4 linked regions of the Nothobranchius furzeri genome follow. The protein of the gene in region 4 interacts with the protein of the main gene of each other region in a biochemical or structural test. Links are inferred from orthologs where the notes say so. Each region holds a gene or a part of one and is shown on either strand. Other genes may lie near its edges. The genes, in order: ncoa6, nr0b2a, srebf2 and hnf4a.

Region 1 (5,205 bases), about 24 Mb from region 4:
TGTTGGCAGGAAGGATCTCCAGTAGCGGTCAGTGTTGCAGCGACAAGACAGATAATCTACTGTAGGGGAGAAAATGGGATGTTCTTGAATCCGAACAGATAAATCAAGCAATGCTTCTTGATCGCAGATTGACAACTTCCTTTTTCTTCATTTGGTTTCCCTACAGCTGAGTTTTTGGAAGATGACGTGAAGCTGCTGAAGGCCAAAGGACACACAGTTGAAAGGATGGGTGTCCTTTCGTTGGTGGAAGGCACACGGAGAACCAATGACCTCATCATTGGAGTGAAGGACCCACGTAGTGCTGATGCTTCTGCCCTCACCATTTCCAACACACCTTAGTGCATCCATCACTTTTTCCAGTATTCACTCACATTACAGCAGGGATCAAACTCGTAGGATACTAGTGAAAGAAGAAAAGGTGGAATAAAAATGATCAAACTACTACAGTCATCAAAATCTCACAGCAAACTGCCATTTAAATAAAAATCCACTTAGCTTTCTGTGAGTTCACCTCACATCTGTTTGCTCGAGTCACACGGTACAAGGTTTTCAAAGTAAAAGCCCACCCAGCAGTGGCACTAAAGTTAGCTGCAAATGAAATAATGTAATTGCTGAACTTATGAGAGGAATGTTTGAGAGTATTTTCTCTATCACTGTTTAGTCAGAATTTCAGAGGTAAATTATTGAGCAATAAATGAAATCATAAACCAATAATGTAAAATGTACAAAAAAATGCATAGTGTGCAGTACATGCATTAACAGTCAACTTATTTTTTAATGTTTTTTGTCAATTATTCCAAATATTACCAAGGATGTTGCTAGATGACAAGTGAAGAGACTTGCTTTGTCTTTGTCTAACTGTCCTTCCCTTGCTTGTAGTGTGGCATGTAACTGTGATTATGTTGTCTTGCACAGCTGCTGGAGTTTTACCTTCTTTTTGAGAACATGTTAGGTGATAACATACCCAGACAGAGATGTTTAACAGGAATGTGATTTCCACATCTTGGTTTACTACTTTTACTGAGATGGTTTTATTGATTTTAAAGTATTTCTTATATTGTTACTGTTCTTTTTGCATTCTTAATATAGTTTTAGTGGTTTATTTGCTGCTTTTCTTGAAAATCATTAGAATTATTTGAGAGAGGGTCACCCTTGTTCTCTGAATGGGAATTAAAACAGTTTAATGTAAAATCAATTTTTACATCACTGTTTGACTGTAGATGTTTTTATTCCTAAAATCTATATTCAGCCTGGAACTCTTCGGGATGGGTGTCATGTGTTTTTGGTGCAATTAAGCGGAATAATAGAAGTAAAATCGAACACGTTTTTCTCTCACACTAAATTGATCAAATAGGTTTCTAATCTTAGAGTCTTGTCTTGTGTACTGTTAATGCACACATTTGCACACCTGATGTTTGATTATTTTGTGTTTATAATTGAAGGAAAAATCGGTTTTGTTCAAATTTGTGAAATAAAAATGTTTGCACATACCCACATAAGCAGTGTTCCGCAATTTGTCATCATACTTGCATTTAATACAATTTGAAAAATAGATAAAACAGCTCAGTTTATTCAGGACTATTTAGGAAATAGTCATGAACTTGTTAACCTAAGGAGTGCGTTTACCTTTTGAGCTTTTATTTTGAAAAAGAAAACCGGAAACAACCTTTGTTAGTTAGCTTGCTTATGACATTCATCCTATTTTGTTAGCCTGTCTAGCAAACAGATGTCGACTAGTTGAACGTATTCGTATATGGATATGTTTGGTAAGGTCTTTGTATATTCCTTTCTCCTTGTTTTTATTAACGAAAACTGTTGAAAGGCAAATTAAACCAGCTACGGTTCGCTGCTTGGATTCATTCGCGTCTGGAGACTGACATCTAGCTACATAGCTAACTGATGCTAACAGGATTTTTCGGAAAACCAATAGGAACCACTTTCAATTTCACTCTTTCTGTGTGCTGCTAAAACGTATACATTTGAAATGTAAGTGTTAATTGCACCACGATGAAAATGCACAATTTGGTAAGAAACAGAGTTTACTTGTGGATTTTGTTTGAATGTTAGCTTACTGCGTTAAGGCCCACACTCCTGCAGCGCCGGTGACTGAAACCAGGATGATCATCATTATAAAAATATATTATATTATTACTAACAAGTTTAACTCCCATATCAAGAAATCTCACAACTCTGAAAGTAATGTGACTACCAATCAGAGCACCTCTGCTTAATAAGCTAATCACCGGTCAGTGATGTCACCTCCAGGTGTCTGCTTCATTGAGTTACAAACTCATTTATTTGCTTCTTTTTCTGGTTTGCAAATAGAAATTATGACTTTTTTTGCTTGTCTTTGTTTTACTCGAATCGAATGTTATATAGAATACTCTTCAGCCTCTAGCAACTTACTATAACTGTTGTTTCTTGGCTGTGTTCAGGGTTTCTAAAACAATTAAAGAGCAAGTCACCCCCTACAAGAAACTTATTTCACTCCCTCTTCATGTTTGAAAAATGCAACAAATGCTGTTGCCTAGCAGACCGAGAGGGCGGAGCCACTAACAAATACACACACACACACACACAGGCTCACAACGGCACTGTGACATCATAATGTACCAGTTTACATCATAGCATACCTCTTAGCCAATAGCGGTGGCAGATTTAAATTCAAATGCAGTGCAGAGTTTTTACCTGACAACGGCGCAACATTGACAGTTTTAGGCAGAATATTTCAATTTTAACTAAGATGCACTGAAGTACCAAATTATTGACTACACGTGTCTGCAGCACATTTAGACACACATTTATATAGTTTATCAGCAAAAAAAAAAGTAGATTTGGGGGTGACTTGCTCTTTAAGAACTGTCGAAGGTCTCAATATATTAATGGGAAATTAAAAATATTCTAAGATGAGCTGTTATGTTCCCAAAACTTTCCATTTTAAATGCATTCTACGAAATTGTAGAAAATTGGGAACCCATAGCGTAAGCAGCTTTTTACTTTAAGCTGAAACAGTTTATAGAAAAAGCATAATTTATCAAATAATTATTAAATTAATCAATACCATAGACTTTTCTGGGCAGTACATACATTTGAGATAGGCAAAGTATGGAATAATAGTATTTGATAAGAAAATGCTGTAATCTAAAGTTTGAATAATCTGTAATTACAGCATAAAACGGTTTAGACACCACTCCTAACAAGGAAGGGAGGATAGCTGCTGAACATTCCTCATCCCAGAAGACTGCGTACATGGAGCCTGATGGTGAATCGGACAGAGACTCTGGTGTTGGAGAAGATTCTGGAGAAGACGCAGATAGCTCTGAGAAATGCAACGTAACAGAAGAAGTTGGACCCATGGAGCAAGAAGACACTAGAGAAAATGGAGAGGAGGACTTCACAGTCTTTGTTGCCTTTCAAGGAAACATGGATGATGAGAACTTCACTCAAAAACTAGAAACTATCCTCAATGGGATACCTGATGTTCTTAATTTGGGTTTGTGTTTATTTTTATTCAATTTGTTTTGTTACTTTGTTTTATTTGAGCTCATTTACGTGTATTTGATTCAAAAATATATATCTTGCACTGACCTGTTAAGCATTTTCCAACCAACACTAACTAAATACACTTTATTTTAGGCCCAGAACGGCTGCAGCCTAAACATGTTGAGCCGTGGAACAGTGTCCGTGTCACATTCAACATTCCCCGGGATGCTGCTGAGCGACTCCGGTTGTTGGCCCAAAACAACCAGCAGCAGCTCAGAGACCTGGGTATTCTCTCTGTGCAAATAGAAGGTAATAGCTCAGTCCAAAAAGAATTCATGCAGATCTCCTCCTTTTGTCTTCATAAAAATTCATTTATGCAATGATTTAATCTTGGTGTTCAGGAGAGGGAGCAATTAATGTGGCTGTGGGACCAAACAGAGGACAAGAAGTCAGAGTGAATGGACCAATTGGTGCACCTGGTCAGATGAGAATGGATGGTGGCTTTCCAGGTCAGCCTGGCCCAGGTAAGTTTTTCCAAAAGTTTAACAAAAAAATTAACAGTACTCTAGTCTACTAGTAGAGATTTTGGCTTTACTGTCCAAACGTGATCACACATGAATGCTGTCGAAAGCAGCAGCAGCTTCAGCGCAGAGCAAGTTGATGAGAAGACGAAGACATAATTTATACTGGCCTGGTTTAGGTTTAAGGAGTCTGATGCTGAGCAGAAAAACATCCTCTGTAAAATATTCTGGGCGACAGTGAAGTCATATCAACGCTTGTTAACGCTAACGCTAATTCCCTTATATGCCATTAGCTTCTAACATATTATTAACACGCAGGTTTCCAAACTTTCATCACAGTAAGCTTGTATTTTATTTTAAAATTTCTTCATCTTTATTTGGTTCATGTGAATTTTTGTGTTGCATTGTTTCTAACAATGTTTAACATAAATATTACTTGATATTTTGTATTTTTTTAATTAGTTTTGAACATTAAATGTTATTTAAATGGTATTCTATATTTCTCCTTTTGACATAAACAGAAGAAAAAAAATATTGCGATATAATTTTAGGCTATATATACACAGTTCTCAGCATAAATGAGTACACCCCCTTTAAAAAGTACTAATTGAATCAGTAGCTGAATGATAAAAAAAAAAAAACAATTTCCAGAATTTTTACAAGGCTCGGTTTTAGTGAACACTAGTTTAACGCCATAACATGACATTAAGGTTAATAATATAACTTGGATCACTAAATCTTTTGTTTTACTAAAATTGGTTGATGCAAAATGAATACACTCTCCAAAACTATTACATCTAGTATTTTGTATGACCACCATATATTTCAAGGACAGCACCAAGTTTTCTAAACATGGAATGAACAAGTCGGCGACATATTGCAACATATACCTTTTTACATTCTTCAAAATAACCTCTGGAGTATTTCGCAGTATGGTATGGTGTAAAATGGTATCTCATAGAAAATGTTGTTTCTGAAAGGAAACTAAAGGTGTATGGTGTGTGTGTGTGTGTATATATATATATATATATATATATATATATATATATATACATTTTTTTTCATGTGTTTTCTTTTTTTGTATTTTCTTGACTATTTTCCTTGTTTATGAAATGGTGACCTAATCAACACAATTTTATCTTCAAGGGGTGGTAAGGATGGCCAATCCATCAATGGTTCCCCCTGGACCTGGCATGGTGGG
Region 2 (4,689 bases), on a different chromosome or scaffold from region 4:
AACTTTGCACCACCCTTTTGTACAATTCATGTTTCATGTTTGCCCTGCAGAAGGTGATGTAGTGGCAATAAATACATCTTATGTTCATGCTGTTATGTTTATTAAGCTATGCTTAATTTTCTGTCCCTTTTGTTATGTTCTTATAGAAGACTTGGCTAAACTGAGGTTGATGCAAACATCCTTTGTGTGTTTGGGCCATCCAATGATTTGTTATGGTTGATTGCACATGGATGCAACTTAACGCAGAGCACCGGTGTTCTGCTGAGCTGTGGTGGCCTCATGGAGCGGGCCGCCGGCTAGCATGCTGCTGCTAACTACTTAACATACTCCCTCTCTTATTAATAACATTTTACTCTCTTTAACGTTGTATGTGCTACTACTAGTTCACCTGTTGAATCAGTTATATGGGCCATTCCCATCTGTACCGGGTCGGCCCGGGCCGGGTAGCGTAGGTTGTTTACATATCTGGGTGGCCTGGTATTTTTCCGGGCCAACCAAGGCTCATTCTCAGCCCTCTTCTCAAGGGGGTCTGCTTCAGGCCGACCAGGGCCAACACACCCACTGCTGACAGCAAATTCACACCTTCCATTAGAGCAAGCCTCTGATTGGTGGGTAGAATCAGCCCACATGGGCTTAAGGCAAGGATGTGTGGAATCAACCGGGCCAGGCTGGGGCCGACTGGGGCTACCCGGCCCGGGCCGACCCGGTACAGATGGGAATGGCCCATTAGATTCACCCAGATAAAGACAATAAAGTTTATTTCTCACTAAATAGAATATTTAATAAGAAATCACAATCTAGCCATAGGAACACCACTTGGTGTGTGTGTGTGTGTGTGTGTGTGTGTGTGTGTGTGTGTGTGTGTGTGTGTGTGTGTGTGTGTGTGTGTGTGTGTGTGTGTGTGTGTGTGTGTGTGTGTGTGTGTGTGTGTGTGTGTTTGCGCTGACTTCCCAATCCCCACTGTCGCTACACACTTGCTTTTGAGGATTGCTGCAAAGACCTAGTCAGTGACTCGATGCCGTCTGCTGAGTTAGGAGCTATATAAATAATCTGAACTGAAGAAAAACATGTACATTATTGAGATTAGTTGTGAAATGGCCAACAACAAGAGAATGTAACATTTGTAAAAACAATAACACTATTTCTTTTTTGATCAAGATGCTTTTTTAGATAAGTTTGTCTCACAAACGGAACATCTGCAGTTAGAATGCCTCATTTCATTTCAAATGTGTTGACAGCAAAATAAACATGTTCAAAAACTTCTACGTAAATGCAGCTGTTACTCAGGAACTGGGCAAAAGCAAATGCAAACAAAGAAACTATAGAAGCAGACATTTGTAAAACGGGTTAATTACGTTCCAGATCACTAACAAACACTTCTGTGCATGTTTCAAATGAAAAACTGGTCTTACACACGACCCTTACGATCACACAAACAACCTTTTAATCTTCTGTGTAATAATCGTGTTAAAGATCGAAAAGGCAGAATTAAAACGCAAATCTTGATGGATATCCATTAACGGTGTGGAACACTGAAAAAAAGTTTTAATTATTATTTCTGATTATAATCGGTCTCCGAGTGTTTCGTTCATGCTGAACATGAAAATAGTCTCCTACACCTAGGATTTGAAAAGCCTGACAGATCTACGCCACGCTGTCACCTAACATTCATGGACTCACCCTCCTTGACTCGCGGCTGTTGTTGGCTTAGCATCCAGGAAACAGCAGAGAGGTAGTAGAAGCTAACGTTAGCACAAGCAACTCCACCACACAGCAGACCTCCTCCAGGCTCGTGTTATTTGTGGAGAGAAAACATCAACGTTGAAGAGCAAACAGAGTCAGTGGTAGAGTCGCGTTGCTGCTAGCCGGTCCGATTTTAAAGGTTAGTAGGTGAAGTGGTTATAAGGTTGAAGTATGCTTTGGGACTTCTGAGGATTAGATGCATTAAGTGTACATTTTACCGTTTGTTCCCACCCCAGAGTTACAGGTTAAGCTATCAATGCAACTTGCCCCTAGGGGGCTCGCTACAGCGATGAACTTGTTTTATATTCTTCCCGAAGTCATTTGGAATCATTTCAATAGTTCCTTTAGTCATCACACACTGTTGAAATTCATCTCCGCATTTGACCCATCCCCGTGGGGAGCGGAGAACTGCAGCTGTGGTCGGGAATTATTTGGTGGTTTTATGCTACTACTACTGTTTCCCTAAAATTGAAGCATAATTCCCACTGTTCCCGGTTTGGAAACGTTTGTCTAAACTAAACTACGTTTGATGAGAACACGATGTGAAGGTCAACGGCCTCCTTTGTGGTCTGGCCTCCTTCCAGCACTACAGGTGTGAGCTGGCGGGTGCAGTGACACAGCGTGGGGCTGATTACCTCTGCAGTCCTTGGTAGCTTGGTACTGCCTGGGTTGATGACACTGCCTTCCAGATAAGGCCAATCCCACTTGATATCCATGTGTGACTCCAGCAGCTACTTCTCAATGAGAAAAGCTTATCTGTTTCCCAGGGTTATTCCAGCAGTCACCTGGCAGAGCGCGCGGTTGTTTTTCACATTGGGTGTATTGACATTTCAAGGTCCACTAAGAAGGGAGGGTTGGCCTTATAAATAAGACTGGAGGAAGCAGCAGCTCTCAGAAGCTCAGACGGAGCCCGTCGTGGCAGAGAAGAGGTTCAGAGGAGCAGCCGCATCGAAGAAAGATGGATAACAGATGCCAGTGTTCCGCTAACAAACAAAGGCAGTTAAACCCGATCCTCTACAACATCTTGAGCCAGATGGACAGCGGTAGACCGACTCCAGACACCTCCAGCCACAGTTCCGTTCCTCACAGATGCAACTGTGAGACGCGGCGGAGAGTGTGCTTAAAAAGGCCGTCTGTGGTCTGCAAAGAGGCGTCTGCAGTTCTGGTGAAAACCGTCCACTTCATGAAGAACTTGCCAGCGTTTAACCAGCTGCCACCCAGTGACCAGTTTGCACTACTTAAAAGCAGCTGGGTGCCACTTTTTATTTTGGGTTTGGCCCAGGAGCGCGTGGACTTTGAGGTGGCGGACGTCCCTGCTGACAGCATGCTGAAGAAGATTCTCCTGAACTGCCAGGAGAGCCCTGAAACAGAGCGGGAGCAGCCAACCATGGCAGGCATCAGCAAACTCAAGTCGTGTCTCAAAAAGTTCTGGAGTCTAGATGTGAGCCCAAAGGAGTACGCTTACCTGAAAGGGACCACGATATTTAATCCAGGTATGTACTGCGTTAACTGGATTCAGACAACAGATAATCCAAGGACTCGTTTGTCAAGCAACAATTCTGGTTTTCTCTCAAACAGATGTACCAGATTTGAAGGCAGGCCTGTTTGTCGAAGGCTTGCAGCAGGAAGCTCAGCACGCCCTGAGCGAGGTGGTCCAGCTGCTTCACCCTGGCAACCAGGAGCGCTTTGCTCGGATCCTCCTCACAGCCTCCATGCTGCAGGGCATCACACCCAGCCTCATCACCGAACTCTTCTTCAGGCCTGTGATAGGCCAGGCCAACCTGCTGGAGCTGCTGGTCGACATGCTCTTCAGCCGATGGGAGGGGTGGTCCTCGGGATGGTGACCTCCATGCAGCGTGCTTTAGAGGCTTCTATAAAGCACACTAGGGTTTTGACTTTCGTCCGCTGAAGCTGAGGTCACTTCACCGTCTGAGCAGAACTCCTGAGAGGTTTTTGAGTTTTGATCCTACGTGTCGATGAGCTCCTCTGCTGTAAATAAGCATCTGCATTTCCAGAAAACTTGAATAAATATATTTTTGTACACGACTGAGTCCGATCCGTGGATCCATCCTCCATTACATGTTGTGCTCAGCAAACTTTTCAGAAAGTCAAGCGTAAGCCTGCGCGTTAAAGGAGAGAATCTAAAATTAGAATGAAAACACACATTTGTGGCTTCAAATGGAACAGAAAACCTTTTTTCTGCCTGTACTGCTGTGCTGTGTCTCCCTCTAGAGGACGTTTGGTGGAAGTTTTTTTTTCTCAGAAGACTAGCGGCAAATATTTTCTTACTTTTGCATTTCTCACAAAACCACAGCATCAAGATCCCCCCACCCCATCGTCACAAAAAGGGACAGAATGGCACGAACGCTAAACTCAGCGCAGTATAAAAAAACACTGTCTGCATGTAGTTATTTGAGAAATCAGGCTTAGTCATCCTACTTTGTGGTATGTTAGTTGTGAAACCCTGTCTTTACATGACAACTCGTACAGGTAAAACAGGAATGTGCTGGTGGGGGCGGTGAGCCGGTGGAAATGGGGTTACGCGTGGAAACGGCAACACAAACAAGACAAAAGGAGAGTCCAAAATGCTTCAAATCGAGTGCAAAGTGGAAAAAAACTACACATTTTTGTTGCTGCAGCAATTTTTCTTTTCAGCAGATATGAAATCATCCAAATGTTGGAGTTGTTAGGATAAGGTGGCTGTAATCTGCTAGATTTACTGAAAACTTAGAACCCGGTGCATTCAAACTGAACATCTTCATTTGAGCAGAAACAAGAAAACGTGAAACAACGATCAACGCGTCCTAAAACAGATTAGAACCAGAAACCAAACTCTTCATTCTCTTCAGGCTCCTGCAGCAAGTCTAGTTATCGGAATTGCTTCTTTCCTTTTTCCATGAATGACAAAGACAAACCTCGGGATTTTATTTCCTTTCTGTCAGAACC
Region 3 (4,705 bases), on a different chromosome or scaffold from region 4:
AGGTCACAGAAAGACCCGTCCTGACCGACCTGGGTGGGCTCCTCGTGTAGCTGAGATGTGATTGGTTAATTATTGATCGGTTGTGACCCAGTTCTTAAGGAAAGCTATCAGTAGTTGCACAACAGCGGCGTGGTTCAGGGCCGTGAAGATAACCCCCTCCTTTCTCAAGGTTTTCTGTGTGGCGGCTGCTTCGAGTTAACTCATCAGTAGAACGGTAGCGGCACCTGTGGGGGTCAAGGCGTCACGTCGAGGTCAGTTTGTGCTCTTATCTGTTAGCGAGGTTCAGACATCTTAATAAAAGCTGCACTCTGGTCTCTTTACTGCTTTCCATCAGTTTCAGGACCGCGGACACAAACGCCGGCCCAGTGAGGACCTCTCTTCGCTTAAACGTGATCCTCGTGAACGTTTCACATTTTTAAACATGTGACGGGTTTCTGGGTTTCTCCACAGAGATGCTGCAGTTCGTCAGCAACCAGGTGGGGGACTTCCCAGACATGTTTGAAGAACAGATGACCACGGCAAGCTCTGTGCAAGCTGTTGGCTCCGCCCCCCAGATGGCCATTCAGACACCCACCGCCACTGCCTACCTCGCTTCCCCCCAGACCCTGCCCCTCACCCCTCCCCTCACGCCTGCTCAGACGCCCTCCCTCGCCACCGCCGCCACCCCTACGGTGCAGCAGGTGACCCGCAGCCCTCCGCTGCTCCAGCCGCGGCCTCAGCCCATCCAACCCCATCAGACGTCCCAGCCCACCATCCAGGTATCGGCGTGTTTTATTCTGTCTGCGGTCGGGCTCCGTGTCAGCTAACCATCGGCTTTCTAAAGCAGATTCTGTTTGGTTTAAATGCAGGTGCACGCGCAGGGAGTTTCCTTGCAGACCCAGAACTTCCCGGTCCAGACTTTGGTTCAGACCCACAGCCAGACGCCCCTCCCCATCCAGACGCAGGCAGCCCAAACCGTGATGATCGCCTCCAACGGTGGACAGTCACGCTTCATCCAGAGCCCGGTCATCTGCCATCATAGTGCTGCTCCTAGTTTCCAAGGTGACCGCAGTGATGGAGAGGAGTAGATCTGCTGATGATTGTCAGCTTCTGCTGCAGAGCTCCGGCGCTTTAAACGTGATCAGATTTCTGTTTTTATTCCTCCAGTCATTCAGCCACAAGTGCAGAGCATCATGACATCGCCACAGCTGCAGCCAGTCACCATTCAGCATCAGCGCCTGCTGACCGCGACGGGTCAGACCATCCAGACCCTCTCCACAGCGCCCACCACAGTCCACGCTGTGCAGCAGCAGGTGCCTGTAAGGGTGACTAGCGCTGAGGTCGTCTGACCTGATTAAAGTTTCATTTCAGTAAAAACGAAAGGTTTATGCACCCCTTCAGGTTTTGGTCCAGCAGCCTCAGATCCTCAAGACGGACTCGCTGGTCCTCACGACGCTGAAACCCGACGGGACGCAGGTGTTGTCCACCGTGCAGAGCCCCGCGGGCATCGCCACCCTGACCACGCCCATCCAGAACGCCGCGCTACAAGTCCCGGTAGGCGGCGTGGGCGAACCCGCGACCAGCTCGTGACTGGTCTTGATGGGCCCTCACATCTGTCTTTCGTCCCCAGACTCTGATGGGCAGCAACATTCTGACCACCGTTCCCGTGGTGATGGGAGGAGACAAGCTGCCCATCAAACAGCTGCCTCCAGGCTCCTCCCCCTGCACCGCCGGGCCCAGGGCGAGCGTGGAGCCGAGCCAGGTGATGGCAGGAGGCATGGGGCCGGGAGTGGTGGTGAAGGAGGGTGAAAGGAGAACAACCCACAACATCATCGAGAAGAGATACAGGTCGTCCATCAACGACAAGATCATGGAGCTCAGAGACCTGGTCATGGGCAACGATGCGAAGGTGCAACCAGGAAAGGTGTTAGAGGCGTAACGGAGAAAAGCTGCATTTGTTTATCTCTACCTTCCCCACTCAGATGCACAAGTCCGGAGTGCTGAGGAAGGCCATCGACTACATAAAATACCTGCAGCAGGTCAACCACAAGCTGCGGCAGGAGAACCTGACCCTGAAGATGGCCAACCAGAAGAACGGTGAGTGTTTCTAAACACTCCAGCATCATTCATAGCGGCCTGACACTGAAACGAACGCGCCCCCGTCTCTCCCAGGGGCCGCGTCCTTACCCGAGGACGTGGAGCTCAAACCAGAAGTGGTGATGATGTCACCTCCCGCCTCCGACTCCGGCTCCGGTTCTCCTCACCAGTTCTCTCCGTACTGCGTTGACTCTGAGCCGGGAAGTCCTCTACTGGATCACGACCCGGTGAGTTGTTTCATCACCGGCAGGATTTACAGGTTTGTTTTGTCCAAACGTTCAGCGGAGATGACCTCCTGAAGGGCCTCAGTTTGGAGAAAGAGGTTACGTCCTAAATATTGCGGGAACTCTTCAAAGTGGCAGAAATCCTAATTTAAACCCGTCTTTGTGTTTCAGGTGAAGAGCGAGCCGGATTCCCCCTCCACGGTGGGGGTGATGGATCGCTCTCGGCTCCTTCTTTGCGCTCTGACGTTCTTCTGTCTGTCCCTGAACCCGCTGCCCTCGCTGCTGGGCTCGGAGGCCGCGGGGAACCCGGGTCTGTCTGCAGGCCACATCCCATCCAGGACTCTGGTCTGGTTCCCGACCCACTCCCAGGACTTCGGTGAGGCTTTAGGGTTTGTGCTTCCCTACAGAGGAGCCGAGATCTTACCTCGTGTTTTATCTCGCCAGCGTCGTGGCTGCGGTGCCTGTTGCCGTGGGTGATTGTCTGGGTGCTGAGTGGAGTGGGAGCTCTGTGGGGGTGCGTCAGGGTTCTGTACCTGTGGGAGCCGGTGACGCCGCTTCATTCGCCTAAATCCGTGTCCTTCTGGAGGCACCGCAAGCAAGCAGACCTGCATCTGAAGCGGGTGAGAACCGAAGCGGTGCGGGTGAACGCTGCGTGTGCTGGACTCCCTCTCTCTCCACACGCAGCGTTTTTACACCGAAGAGCTCCTCGCTCTCTCCTGCCTGTGATCTGATCCTTCTGATGTCTCTAGTTCTCCTTTTCCCCGAGCGGTTTTATTTTTTACTTTTCTTCCTCGTGTCCGAGTCGTGATCCCCCCCTCAGTTTTCTGCCGGTTCGGTCCTGGCTCCTTATTTCTCTCACCTCTCTCTCAAAGGGAGATTACGCGGCGGCGATGGCCAGTCTAGAGACCTGCCTGTCCGTGCTGACGAGAGCGCTCCCCTCCACCGGTCTGGACCTGGTTTGTTCTCTCTCCTGGAATTTTATTCGCTACTGCTTGCATCGCCCGACGCCTCTGGGCTGGCTGGTCCACCAGGTCGGAGGGAAGCACGAGGGGGAGGAGGCGAGGACCAGCGCCAGGGACGCAGCACTGGTTTACCACCAGCTCAGCCAGCTGCAGCTCACAGGTCAGAGGTCGTCTGCACAGTCAGCTCAGGGCTTCCCTCGTACTCACACCACCCTAAACGTGTTTCTGCAGGGAAGCTGCCTCAGCGCAGCAGCTGGTGGGCGCTGTCTCTGTCTCTGAACGCCGTCAACCTCAGTGAGAGCGCTCAGGGCAAGATGGCGCCGACTCAGCTGGCTCAGATGTACGTGACTGCAGCGACGGCCCTGCGCTCCGTCCTGGGCCACCACCTGTCCTGTCTACCTGTACGTGTCTGCTTCCCGCCTCCAGACCAAAGGCATCCTCGCATTTGCTTCTGCAGCTTTGACTCACTTCCTGTTTGTCTCCAGGGTTACCTTCTGGGCTGCGCAGAGGGCGTGGCCAACCAGACCGAGACCAAGCAGATCCCCGACTGCCTCCGCTGGCTCTTCACACCGCTGGGTAGGCAGTTCTTCCTGAGCTGTGATTGGTCGGTGAAGTCCGACAGCGGCGACGAAGTGTACACCTCTCAGAGAGACGCAGGTTTGTTTCTTCCTGTTTGGTTCGGTTTTTGTTTTGTGATTTGAATGAAGTCGACGCTTTGTGTTTGTCCCCAGCTGACCCCATCGCCCAGCTGCACCGATGTTTCTGCAGGAAGCTCCTGGAGAGAGCCGTTCACACGCTCATCCAGCCGCAGAGCGACTCTGATGGCGGCAAGAACAGCTGTGGGTGAGTCGCCATCCAGGTGCTCTGGTTCTTCACTCGCGTCCTCCTCCGTACAAATAACCGTCTCGCTCTTTTTCCAGGGAATTTTCCAACGCCCTGGAGTTCCTCGAGCTGTTGAATAGCTGCACAGAGGACTCTCCTTCCCCTCCTCCCCCCTTCCCGACTCCTCCCAGTCACACCACCGTCTCAGGTTTGAACACCACCCGTTTGTTGTTCAGTCCCAGGAAGACAGAGTTCCTGTTTCTCAGAACTCTCGTGTTTTAGTCTTCCGGCACAAATCTGTTTGTGTTTTATTTATTTTTTTCATGCGATTCAGTTTGTTTTCTCGCAGAAAAACTCAGTGTGTGACGTTCGGGGGCGGGGCTAAGGACTAAACGATGCCTAAAGTTTTCCTGGTGTTCTTGTGTCCAGTGCGAGACCCGGTGAGTCGCTGGTGGGCTCTGGTTCTGAAGGCTGCGGTTCTCTGGCTGCAGGGGGACGACGCCACAGTCAGGACGCTGTTGGCAGAAGCCGAGCGAATGCCGAGAGCTTTGCACATTCTCGAGTAAGTGCGCTGAAGTAAACTATGGAGGAATGTAGTAATCAAATGTAGATATTATCATT
Region 4 (5,504 bases):
GCACACTTCTTAAGCAAATATGACCACTGGAAAAAAAGAGCAGCACGGATCGAACGTGGAGTGATGTTGTAACTGATGACCTCTGTACACTTAAACAAAACAACATGTTGAGATGGAGCTGAGATTGATCCACTCTGATCACCAGTGGGTCAGTATAAAGGCTGCCTTTATCTGGGGTGTTTCCACTGAGTTAATCACATCAGGACTGTAAGGTCCAGGAGAAAAGGAAATCTTCAGTAGTTTTCACCCATTTTCCTTTTTGATTGAATTTCTTTAATCTGTCAGTCTTTAATCAGTGGGACGCATCATCCTCAGATCTTCAGCGGAAGTCTGCAGGCGTGTTGTGGTGTTTGCCTACTGGAAGAAGAAATAACTTTACGATGGCTTCGTATAATTTGACTGCTTGGTTAACAAGCTCCCCTACATGAGGTTTACTGCCTCTGAGGTCTGCCTGAACTTGGGATCGTTGACCTGTGGCTGTGCTCTGGCACTTTCTCTTCAAATACAAGACTACTGTTTGCTGTCGCTTGTCAGAGGAGGACTCAGATTCAGATTCAGGATGAGTTGCAAAAGTCACACGTGGAAACTGCCCAAGCGTTGAGAAACACCAGTATTCAATATTACATCAGACATGGACATGAAATAGGAAATAATGATGTTTAAACACTTTCATTCATTTCCTCCCTGACACATAAGTTATCTTATTTGGCTTTAAATGAGTGGTGTTAGTGAGCAGTGAAACTCACTCTACCATCCTGCTCACAATCGTGTCGTAATCGTCTGTTTTCACGATTGTCAGCTTTTAAAAGGAGTGAAAAACTAGCCATCAAACTGTGCGGTTTGATCAAGGTTAGTGTGCTGTGACCTTTGGCAGCAGTGATTTATACAATACTTAAAAACACAAAATGATGAGAACAGGTGAGAAAGCCCCGCCCCATTTGGAGCTATATGGCTCAGGTAGACTTCACAACACAAATAGCCACATTTTTAACTAACTACGTCATTTTTGGTAATATTAATCATTGACTTAAACCAATACTAAAGTTAAAGTAATCCATATTATCTGCTTTATTTCTCACTATGTCAGATATCTCCCATGTCCACTCATACTTCTACTGGTTTTATAATTCAGCCTTTCATTAAGACTTTTGAGGATACATTGCAACAGCATTAAGAGACTGTGTGAGCGCACCACCAGTGTTTGATGACCTGAGCACAGGTGAATATTCACCTTGTAATTATCAGCTTTGGATTTGAGATAAGCACATTATTGAAGCTGTTAGGCTACTCCTTAGATTTGTCCTGAATGGTAAAACCTCAGAAGGTCAGCTGCTTGTGGGTCAGTCTGTATGTTATGACATCACCTTGCTTTAGCAAGAGTCAGTTCCCCGGCTAATGCGGCTCAATTCCGCTGATTCCAGATCGGAAACATTTGAATCCATGTGCTCTCAGATTGTTAAACCCACTGAGATTTTTTATGCTGATTTGCAGTGGCAGCATGGACGTAATTTTGGGGGGGGACAGGGGGGACATATCCCCCCCACTTTTTCCAAAGTCAAGTTTTGACCCCTGCACTTTTTACCGTCCAAAAACAATATTACGCTATATTAAATTGACACTGGTTGAGCTCTAGGACCAAGCAGAAAACAACCGTTGGTGTTGAAGCCGGTTTCCCATGAGAGTATATTGTAAAGATACACCCCCCCCCCATGTCCCCCCCCCCCCCATTTCTAAAGTGAAAATTACATCCATGAGTGGCAGCCATCTTGGAAGACTCCAGAGATTAATCAGTTGTTTATTTTCATCCTGTAGTTATATTCTGAGAGCTTCGTTTGAATCTGTTCAGCAGTTTAGGTGAGAAGCAGACAGACAAAAGCATTATGGCTGCATTTAACACACGTGTTGGTGGTAAGTTAGAAGTCCCCGTTGGACCACAAAATGTCATTTTTCTTAAATAAAAAAATAATTTACTGTGATTTTTCATTTTAAAGCAGAATAAAATCTGAAACAGGTTAATCTGTCCCATCCTGTTTACTTCGGCGACCTCCCTCTACTCCTGGTCTCAGCCTAGAAATGAAGTTAAAGTTTCAAAGAGCTGCGGCTGAGACTGACCCAACTTAATGCCCATGGAGGAAATGTTTATCCTCTATTTGACAGAGGAGTGTGCAGAGGTGGCTGAAGTCCCACCGTCTCCTAAAAAAAAGAAACTCTCAGTGATTCACCACTAAATCAGTTAGTTAACCATCAACCAGGGACGAGACACTCCACCTCTCGGATGGTTAGCTGCGCGAGGGCCGGAGGAGAGCTGATGTCAGTCACTGACTCCGCTGCTGTCTTCTCATCACACTCAGTCGGGCCTGAGACCTGTCCTGCTACGAGGTGGAGCCAGGCCCGGGAAGAGTTAGGAAGAGGGGGGTAACAGAGGTGTGTGGGGGTGTGAGAAAAGAAAGAAAGAAGGAGGAGGAGGGGGGCATCAGCTTCTTGGACAAGTCTATCTGCCCCTCTGTCAGGTAGTTGAGAATTTGTTTGCCCAAACCAGTGATAGACATGGACATGGCAGACTACAGCGAGGCTCTGGACCCAGCCTACACCACGCTGGAGTTCGAAAACATGCAAGTGCTCCCACTGGGCGCAGGTGAGTCCCAGATATGCAACTCTGACAATGAACTTTGAAACTTTTACTGATTTAAGACTGTTGAGGAGAGGTCGGGGGGAGCTCTGGCACAAATTGATAAAAGGGGTCAACTGTCCATCTGGGCCTCACTCTCAGGGCTGACCCTCCGCAGTGGTCCTCTTTTATCAGCTCACTGAGGGATTCAAGTTTATGAGATTGCTGCATCGCTCCTGGGTCAGCTGCTCCAAGCGGTTCTGACCTGCTTCAGCTTGCAGACTGATGTGGTGTCAGCGGACTGACTTTAAAGCCGGTGTATTATGATCTCCCTTCTCTCGTTACAAACCGTCTGTTCCCACAGAGCTTGAACTGAAGAGAAAGGATGCAGCGTTTTGCTGCGTTCTTACTGTGACACAGGCATATTTATACAGGCAGTCTCCCATGACGCACGGCTGGGTCCCGATTCTAAAATTCCCGATGGGAAAGAGAGGGAAGAGCTATGAAAGGCATGACATTTCTAACAGACACAGATCCTCTCCTTGGGTCAGTCCAATCTATCCTACACATTTCTACAGTGTGTCATGACACATGCTCTGATTGATTGAGCTCATGACTGTTTCCACTGATTACCTATTGAGAGGTAATCAAACCTCAACCATCTATTGACTCTAACTATCTGAGGCACTCATGACGATCGCTTTGATCCTTTGCGGTGAAGCTCGTTTGCGTTTTTCTGCTCGTTCACACCTTCCAGAGTCAAACTCAAACTCAAGCTTCAAATGGAACAATCCAACCATCTGATTGGATTTCTGTGCTTCTCTGCTGTGTGTTAGACAACTCGCCGGCTGAAAGCACCAACATGAACGCCACCGGCCACCTGGCAGCGGGCAGCTTGTGTGCCATATGTGGAGACAGGGCTACAGGCAAACACTACGGGGCCTCCAGCTGCGACGGCTGCAAGGGCTTCTTCAGGCGAAGTGTTCGCAAGAACCACATGTACTCGTGCAGGTGAGGACACGTGTCGTGCTGGAAAATGTGAATAAAAATCCACTCGAGTTACCTTCTTCCTTAAATTAATTATTGTGCAATTTGCTTTAAAATTATAGCAAATATAGTAACGCCAAATATCAGAACAAATGTGCATTAACAGAACTCCTTTTAGAGACATCCTAACACGTTTTCCATCCATTCTCAGGTTCAGCAGACAGTGTATTGTGGACAAAGACAAGAGGAATCAATGCAGATACTGTAGACTGAAGAAATGCTTCAGAGCCGGCATGAAGAAAGAAGGTATGAAACATTCATCCGTTTGAAATAAACCAAAAACAAACAAACCACGTAAAACAATTCTCTGCGTGTTAAGGAAATCACTCCACAGATGGAGCTGTCTCCATCCAATTGATCCAACTGGTCTGCTGGTGTCGCAATCCAGAGGAGAGCACCACTTTGTTAATGTTCACTCGGCAGAGCGCTCAAGTCTCTGGCCAGCTTATGCTGAGCAAACATTTCAGAGCAATAATGGTCGTATACTGATAAACACGACGACCTGAGAAGACTTAATCTTTTTTTGTCTCGGGATCTCACTTTGGGTGTGGGGAAAAAAAACCCACCTGGAACAACTTTTGGTTTTGTTAGGCATAAACTCTGTCAGCTAAGCTGATGATGGAGGCGGTAAATGTGTAAAAGGGGCGACGGTGGCAGAGGAGTTAAGTGCCCGCCCAGTAACCGAAGAGCTGCAGGCTCAAGCCCCGCTCCGTCTGACTCGGCGGTTGTGTCCTTGGGCGAGACGCTTCACCTCCGTTTCTGTAGCTGTGTCTGTGATGTAGCTCCTCACCACCATCGTGTGAATGTGTGTGTGTGTGTGAAACGGTGAATGACTGGTGTGTTGTAAAGCATCTTGGAGGTTGGATTCTAGAAGGCGCTATAGAAACACAAACCGTTTATCATTTTCCCGTGTCTTTGTGTTTTCAGCTGTACAAAATGAGCGAGACAGAATCAGCACCAGGAGGTCCAGCTACGAAGACAGCAGTTTACCGTCCATCAACGCGCTCATTCAGGCCGATGTCCTGTCGAGACAGGTGAAGCCCAGGACAGACGTGACACCGGACGGCTGAAACGTGCTGTCACTTACACGTGTTTCCTCGTGCAGATCACCTCCCCCGCTCCCATCCTGAACGGAGACATAAGGACCAAAAAGATCGCCGCCATCACAGACGTCTGTGAGTCTATGAAGCAGCAGCTGCTGGTCCTGGTAGAGTGGGCCAAGTACATCCCGGCCTTCTGCGACCTGCCCCTGGATGACCAGGTGAGACCCAGACACAGTGTACACAGAGCTGTTACCACTCTGGTCACTCATCAACTAGTCCGGCTATAGACACCCCCCCACCACCACCATTTGCTTTTCCTCCATAAAATAAAAGTTCAGCTGACTTAAAACAGAGGGTTGAGCCTGAACGGATCTCTGAAGGCGATGTAGATCTTCACACTCGAACCTTCAACCAGAATGGTTAATGTATTTAATCCTGAGTTAGAATATGATGAGCTGGTTTTCAAAGATTGAGTTGCTCCATGAAAAGTGCAGAATCATTAACACTGTGGTCACTGGGCCTTGGTAACTGATTTGCTGATGCAGTGTGAGAACCTGGGTCTCCTGCCAGAGCTTCTTCTGCTCGCCATCTTTGAAAAAAATAAAAAACTTCCATAAAATGTCAGTCTTGTTCTTTTACTTGTGTTCCAGGTAGCTTTGCTTCGAGCTCATGCAGGAGAACATCTTCTGCTCGGTGCAGCCAAGAGGTCCATGCTCTACAAAGACATCCTGTTGTTAGGTAAAACTAGCACACAACAGAGTGTTTTACAGAACAGATAGATTTGGTTCCTTATGAGAGATTTTGCC

Evidence for each region.
Region 1: the proteins of hnf4a (region 4) and ncoa6 form a complex in vitro, tested with the Homo sapiens proteins (2 studies listed by BioGRID). The link is inferred for Nothobranchius furzeri from reciprocal best matches to the Homo sapiens genes HNF4A and NCOA6.
Region 2: the proteins of hnf4a (region 4) and nr0b2a form a complex in vitro, tested with the Homo sapiens proteins (4 studies listed by BioGRID). The link is inferred for Nothobranchius furzeri from reciprocal best matches to the Homo sapiens genes HNF4A and NR0B2.
Region 3: the proteins of hnf4a (region 4) and srebf2 form a complex in vitro, tested with the Homo sapiens proteins (2 studies listed by BioGRID and IntAct). The link is inferred for Nothobranchius furzeri from reciprocal best matches to the Homo sapiens genes HNF4A and SREBF2.

What each region holds. Positions count from the first base shown.
Region 1 is NC_091755.1:60,747,427-60,752,631, forward strand, and holds the start of ncoa6 (nuclear receptor coactivator 6), read left to right. Parts: upstream 1-1,637; 5' UTR 1,638-1,766; intron 1,767-3,169; 5' UTR 3,170-3,249; coding exon 3,250-3,493; intron 3,494-3,636; coding exon 3,637-3,792; intron 3,793-3,884; coding exon 3,885-4,007; intron 4,008-5,150; coding exon 5,151-5,205. Other genes in the region: glutathione hydrolase 7, read left to right, coding at 167-339. UniProt on the Homo sapiens protein: Nuclear receptor coactivator that directly binds nuclear receptors and stimulates the transcriptional activities in a hormone-dependent fashion. Coactivates expression in an agonist- and AF2-dependent manner.
Region 2 is NC_091745.1:40,693,448-40,698,136, forward strand, and holds nr0b2a (nuclear receptor subfamily 0 group B member 2a), read left to right. Parts: upstream 1-2,262; 5' UTR 2,263-2,701; coding exon 2,702-3,236; intron 3,237-3,321; coding exon 3,322-3,587; 3' UTR 3,588-3,789; downstream 3,790-4,689. UniProt on the Homo sapiens protein: Transcriptional regulator that acts as a negative regulator of receptor-dependent signaling pathways. Specifically inhibits transactivation of the nuclear receptor with which it interacts.
Region 3 is NC_091752.1:67,053,396-67,058,100, reverse strand, and holds part of srebf2 (sterol regulatory element-binding protein 2), read left to right. Parts: intron 1-450; coding exon 451-758; intron 759-848; coding exon 849-1,041; intron 1,042-1,146; coding exon 1,147-1,298; intron 1,299-1,380; coding exon 1,381-1,533; intron 1,534-1,609; coding exon 1,610-1,888; intron 1,889-1,961; coding exon 1,962-2,076; intron 2,077-2,151; coding exon 2,152-2,303; intron 2,304-2,471; coding exon 2,472-2,676; intron 2,677-2,744; coding exon 2,745-2,920; intron 2,921-3,172; coding exon 3,173-3,422; intron 3,423-3,493; coding exon 3,494-3,663; intron 3,664-3,747; coding exon 3,748-3,919; intron 3,920-3,993; coding exon 3,994-4,105; intron 4,106-4,182; coding exon 4,183-4,292; intron 4,293-4,513; coding exon 4,514-4,646; intron 4,647-4,705.
Region 4 is NC_091755.1:36,591,701-36,597,204, reverse strand, and holds the start of hnf4a (hepatocyte nuclear factor 4-alpha), read left to right. Parts: upstream 1-2,269; 5' UTR 2,270-2,547; coding exon 2,548-2,635; intron 2,636-3,444; coding exon 3,445-3,619; intron 3,620-3,806; coding exon 3,807-3,901; intron 3,902-4,582; coding exon 4,583-4,689; intron 4,690-4,760; coding exon 4,761-4,916; intron 4,917-5,348; coding exon 5,349-5,436; intron 5,437-5,504. UniProt on the Homo sapiens protein: Transcriptional regulator which controls the expression of hepatic genes during the transition of endodermal cells to hepatic progenitor cells, facilitating the recruitment of RNA pol II to the promoters of target genes. Activates the transcription of CYP2C38.